Linked DNA regions of Mus musculus: region 2 is reported to be linked to region 1. Evidence: microRNA targets listed by miRTarBase, many of them from high-throughput screens and not tested one by one. Region 1 holds a microRNA gene; the other region holds the end of a gene's coding sequence.

What was found. The annotated mature microRNA mmu-miR-340-5p reads UUAUAAAGCAAUGAGACUGAUU and lies in region 1 at 2,125-2,146, opposite strand. An mRNA with a match to its seed (bases 2 to 7 or 8) in the 3' UTR can be bound and repressed. Matches are read on the target gene's strand: a 7mer-m8 pairs with bases 2 to 8, a 7mer-A1 pairs with bases 2 to 7 and ends in A, and an 8mer does both.
Region 2: the mRNA of Ccl28 is a reported target of mmu-miR-340-5p. Seed matches in the 3' UTR shown: 7mer-m8 at 943-949, 7mer-m8 at 1,659-1,665 and 7mer-A1 at 2,344-2,350.

What each region holds. Positions count from the first base shown.
Region 1 is chr11:50,068,866-50,071,865 of GRCm38, reverse strand. It overlaps Mir340 (microRNA 340), which reads right to left and starts at 2,164; the gene lies at 2,067-2,164. It overlaps Rnf130 (ring finger protein 130), which reads right to left. Exons shown (of 9, transcript NM_021540.4): 3 at 445-695.
Region 2 is chr13:119,650,385-119,653,542 of GRCm38, forward strand. Ccl28 (chemokine (C-C motif) ligand 28) reads left to right here. Exons shown (of 3, transcript NM_020279.3): 3 at 481-3,158. The coding sequence ends at 682. Among named protein-coding and RNA genes, the nearest start is that of 1700074H08Rik, 28 kb to the right of the region's middle.

The sequences.
Region 1 (3,000 bases):
GCTCTTCTGAGATGCCAGTATCAGGAAGCAGTAAAGAGACAGCACAACTAAATGTAACACACATTCTGGCCTAACTAATCTGGGGTTTTTGTTGCCCTTAAGGATACTTCTAAGCAGTTCTGGAGAACCTGAGAGAGCCGATAGGTCAGGAAATGTACTGAAAGGACATTCATTTACTGACTTTGATAGTTACAGTGTGATTATGTAGAACAACATTTTCTTTCATTTCTTTTTCTTTTTAAAACTGAGATAGAATATGGCCTGGAACGCCTGCGTAGTCCAACTGGCCTCAAAACCCCGAGTGCAGGTATTACAGGGTACAGCACCATACTTGGCATGTTTTTATCTTGTTGTTGTTGGTCTTGTTTTTAAATATATGACATAAACAAGTATTATCACAAGATCCTCATGGATTACGGCTGGCTAGAGTACTGGTTAGCTCACCTGGTTCCTGTCCCGAGCATTTGTGTACCTGATCTTCTGAATGAAGTAGAATATGAGCCACGCTGAAGAAATAATCATCAAAACAATAAAGGAGATTGACACGAAGACTAGAGAGCCACGGCTGAAGTTCTTTGGCGGCATTCGAGTTCCAACAGCTATTGTCATTTGTACAGAGATGTTTTTCTCCAGATAACTCAAAATATCCTTACCCCTCAATTCTGTTATCATGACAGCAATAATATCTCCCGTGCCTGTAATGTAAAACAAATACACAGACTAAAGTGACATCTGAAATTCATAGACACATCAAATAAATATACACATATGCTCCATAGAGAAATTACCATAATTTTCACTAAGGTTTATAGATTCCAGTTCAACTGACATGAGGCTGCAGCTGTGTAAACTGACAGGCATGAGAACATGTACAGTGCTCCAAACAGGTAACGCATAAAGCAACTGTGGTGTTAACAATGCACAAACTGCCTTACCGGTGCATTAGAAGCACTGTGAAAGCAGCCACCTGTGACTAAATCAGGTTAAGTCTTCAGTAGAAAACCTTTCTATAGCAATCAATCTGGAAAGTTCTGACAGAGAAGCACTGTCATTTACAGTCTGAACAGGTGGTCCTTGCACTACTCATCCTCACACGCACTGCTGAGCAAGGACTGCTCTAAGAAACAGAAAGAAGGGTACTTCTTAGGGCACACACTTGGCTATGGAGTGACAAGTGCCGAACGGCAACATCTTTTACCAACAACCTTTGAAACTAACTTTGGTCTTCTGTCTACAGTAAAGCTCCTTCCAGGGCACTTCTGGAGCTCAAACGCAACAATTTTCCCACCCAGTTTGGAGCCAGCATCTCACATTGCCTCGGCTAGCCTCAGACTTGAGTTTTATGTTAGTTTTCCACCTTGTTTAACCATGCCCAGCGCACTCAAATCCTCTAGGCAGGCCCAAGTTTCAACTTTCTGGACTACTACCCATAATGATACCTAAAACCTTCAGTTCCTAAAAGCTGTTCAGAGTTCTGCCCACAGGCACAACTTTTATAAGTTAATTACAAGGATGGTTCAGTTGTGTTTTCAAGTCCTTTTCTCACATGGCTTCAAGGGCCTGTTTTAAGTCAGAGTGAGCAGCTACTCACCAAGGTCACTTTTGTGAGTATGAAGGAGGATTGTGCATCCAAACACAAAATACCCTCTCAAAACAGCAAGCAGAGACCCCAGACCTGACCTTTTGAAGGCTCTGTCAACAAATATTAGAAACACTTGTTTTGATTTCTTGTTACCTTTAGCAGTCAAGATGAGACACAACAGAAACTCAGTAACAGAAGTTTTGAAAAAAATATAGCTCAATGGAATATATATTTGCATAATACTGTATTCAAAACGGTTTATTCACTTTATTAGAGTAGTAGTTTACCAGTTTATTTTTGCTTAAAAAATCTATAAACAAAAAGGAGACAACAAAATTAAAACTAGCATTATTAAGTTAACATCTGCCTCTGGTGAGTGAGTTAAAAAGAATCATAAAAGAATGCTAAACCAGTTTAAATTTCCATTTAGAAACCTTAAGTTTGTGCTTTTACAATGTTGATCAACAGGCATGATCTGTGGTGTTAAGATACCAGGTATGGCTATAAAGTAACTGAGACGGATCCCACAAACGACATATGACAATCAGTCTCATTGCTTTATAATCACACCAAGTACAATTGGTTTTAGAAATCAGTTCTGAGGCTCCCTCTTGAAGACTCAAGCTGGAAGTGGGGAGAGCTGCACAGGTAGCCAAGGCAACCAATCCAGTAATTTCCTTAACCGAACACTAAATGGGCGCGTCAACTAATCTCAACAGGAAGCTGTTTGGGAAAGAAAAATTTAATTAGTTCAACACTTGTCAATATTCACTGTTAGGAGGACAAGAGTGAATAGATCTCACTGTAGCTTTATCATCCTAGCAAAAAGAGGAGACTGGGCAATGTTGCCAAAGGAGACTGAAAATGATCAAATAAAAAAGTACAGCAGCACATCTGATATTAGTGAAGGCAGTGATCTCTTACAGAAGGTGATGAAGCAAACTACAAACCCTCCTAGGAAAAAAGTTTCTTTCTCCCCAACATCTAGAGCTGGGCTGGGTTCAAAGAGCCTAACAAGATGGCTCAGACATTTACAAATGGGGATGGGACTAAAGAGATGGCTAAGAGCACTGGTTGATCTTGCAGAGGACGAGGTTTGGTTCCCAGCATCAATATGGCAGCTCATAACTACTGTAACTCCAATTCTAGAGGGAACAGACACTCTCTTCTGGCCTTCGAGGGCTCTGTACACATGGTGCACATAGACTCATGCAGGTATACACACACACACACACACACACACACACACAATAAAAAAGTAAATAAACCTTAAAAACAAAACAAAAAACTCTTGGGAGAGTTGGTGCAGATTCAGGAGGGATGATGACAACAGAGGAAACTTAACCCTCAGGATAAAACTAGGATTAGAGTAGCAGTAGCTGGTAGGAGAGAGGGGTTAATTAGACTGAAGTAATGGA
Region 2 (3,158 bases), not on the chromosome of region 1:
GAAGTGAACGACTTTACCTGGGTCTGTTACTGGTTTTCTTTTCTCCCTTTGTTTCTCTTTTTCCCCCTTCTCTTCTCTTTCCCGTTCTCTTCCTCTTCATCCAACTTACCCTTCCCTGGTCCTCAGTTTAATACTTTCCGAAGACATCTGAAGACAATGGAAACAATGTCTATAAAATAAGAATTTATCCTCTTGGTGTTCAATTTGAAGTCACTACAAATGCAATGTCCACAAGGTGGGGGCTACTCACAAGTCACTAGTTCTTTTATGTATTTGTAATTCTTTTGTTTTTCTTGTCACAGGCAGGATTTCTCTATGTAGCCCTGGCTGTCCTGGAAGTCACTGTAGACCAGTGTGGCCTGTATCTAGAGATCCCCCTGCCTCTGCCTTCCCAGTGCTGGGATTAAAGTTGCGTGTCACCACACCTGGCTTATATTTGTAATTTCTGTAAAGATTCGTTTTTTCCCGCTTTCTTGGCAGCCTTCATGTTAAACGTAGAAGAATCTGCATCAGCCCGCACAATCGTACTTTGAAGCAGTGGATGAGAGCCTCAGAGGTAAAGAAGAATGGCAGAGAAAACGTATGTTCTGGGAAAAAACAACCCAGCAGGAAGGACAGAAAAGGGCACACTACGAGAAAGCACAGAACACGTGGAACACACAGGCACGAAGCCTCTCGTTAGAACAGACATGTGAACCTACAGTGAACTCCTCAAGTGAACTGGCCCATATCTGGTTATAAATTTCTCAGCTGAATCTTCCTTATTGACACCTAATGCTTTGTCTTGTTTCATTTCGTTTTGTTTTGTTAATGAATAACTGCAGCTAAGGATGTAAGCACTTGGGTTGTACATGTAGGTTCAATCCCAGCACCAAAAGCAAAACAAACAAAACTGTGCACAAGTAACCAATATAGTTAACTTAAAAACTATATAAAATCCATCTTTATATATAAATTCTAACTATATAGAATTCCTCCAACTTTTTTTTATTCAAGTTTTCCAGCTCTACAGAGGAGTTGAAAGAATGGAACATGGGCTATATACATACCTGCCACCTACATTATTAGTCACTATTAATCTCTCTGTGTGTCTCTGTCTCTTTCTCTGTGTGTGTGTGTGTGTGTGTACATACATATAAGAACTTCTTCACTAAATCATTTGAAAAGTTGCAAACAACATGACCTATATCTTAATCCATTTCTTGTTATTAAAAGAACATTTATGATTAAGTAACCCCTAAAGAATGCAACTTTATTTAGTTCAGGTTCCTGAGGTGAGAACACCTAAGACCTTGGCACTTATATCTGGTTAGCATCTAGTGAAGACCTTCTCACTGGGCCTTAGTGTGACAGCTGCATATGACGAGAATCCTCTTCCTTTTCTTATAAAGCCACTAGCATCCGGGAGACCACACCCATGTAGCCTAGTTTAACACCAACTACACTCAATGCCCCATCTCCAAATGCCAACATATGGATTTAAGGATACATAAATATCTGGAGAACACATAGCAACACTTCAGTCCTAATTTCTAGAATTTCGCTTGCTATCCCTCAAGAATAAACACGTTTTCCTAAATAATTACACTAGCAGTTTTATACCGGGAAAGCAAACAATTCCATATTGTCTATATTCAAATTTCTTTATTTCCAGATCACTTTATATAATTCTTTTCAATCTAGCTCACCTATTGCCTTTTTTTGTGCTTTAGTGTTTTCAATATAAAATCATCTCTCAGGTGTTCTCTTTCCTGTCTTCCTTCTCTTACTTCATAGCACAGACTTTTAGAAAGAGTAAAGATTAGAGCTAGCTCTACATCCCAGGTTTGTCTGACTGGTCCTGGTGGTCAGACTTTTCCATTTCAAGCTTCCTAGGAAGATTTGTACACTTCTTGTCTCCTTTGTGGCTCTATAACATCATTTTCTAAGTAGGAGGGTATAAGCCAAGTAAGTGGTGCTTAGAGGTTTGAGTAGCTATGACCCTGTTGTAAACTCTAGCACTGAGAAACCTGGCCTCACTGTCCAGAAACTTCTCTCTTCTGTTGTGGTTCTCAGAGCAATGGCTGTATTATAAATACAGGGATCAGTCCTGGATTGGTGGGTAATTTTGTATTGTTCTTAACAAGAATCAATCAATCAATCTCTCTCTCTCTCGCTCTCGCTCTCTCTCTCTCCCCTTTCTATCTCCCCTCTGTCTCTCTCTCTCTGTGTGTGGGGTGTGTTGTGTGTGTTGAGTAAAGCTCGAGTCTGCTCCTGGCTTCCTTTGGATGAAGATGTAGAACTCTCAGCTCCTCCAGCACAATGGGTGTTGCTGGGCTTCCTGCCAACAATTAAATATTGACTTTTATAAGAAAGAACAGAGAGAGAGAGAGAGAGAGAGAGAGAGAGAGAGAGAGAGAGAGAGAGAGAAGCGCATGGAGCTCTGACTGGCCCAGAACCAGCTAAGCAGACCAGGCTGGTCCCAAACTCACAGAGATCCACCTAGCTTCCTAAATGCTAGGATCAAAGGCATGCACCACCGCACTTGACTCTAGAAGCCCATTTTTTTAAAACTCCCAATCGATCTCCTCCCTGTTTTCTGAGTTGATTCACTTTGGAGAAGTTTAGACACATGGTAAAAGCTCATTTTCCAGGAGAGCCATTAGAGCAGGGGCAGGTTTTCAGGGTGTGAGGTGTCCTTGATGCCTTGGGCAGTTCCAGGTGGTGGATTATAGGATTACCTGGAGGTACAAATAGCACACAAAGAAGTGTCCCCATTCCTGGACTCTTACAGGTTCTCCTTGCAGGCCCCACAGTGCGCTGAGTTATGTGGACATGGAGATGGGAAGGGAACTCTGTCACTTGTGTTCCCAAAGGGCAAGGGGACTCATGCTGGTTTATAGCATGAACACATCTGCCACCAGCACTGTGGGTGATGATTCTTGGCAAAAGCCACATTCATAGACCAAGATGGGCCTCAACCTGACTCAATGCACTTAACCACATACCCTCAAAGCAGAGGAAACTGCGAAATGCTTCAGTTTTTGGTTTGTGACAGCTTTTCATCAGGTCAGTCTTAGAAACTATCATTAAGTTTTGTCCGGAAGTATAGCATTTTTCTGTTCGACTCTGGCATGACTTTGAGAGGCATCACCAAAGTGCAGGCCTAAATGCCAAAG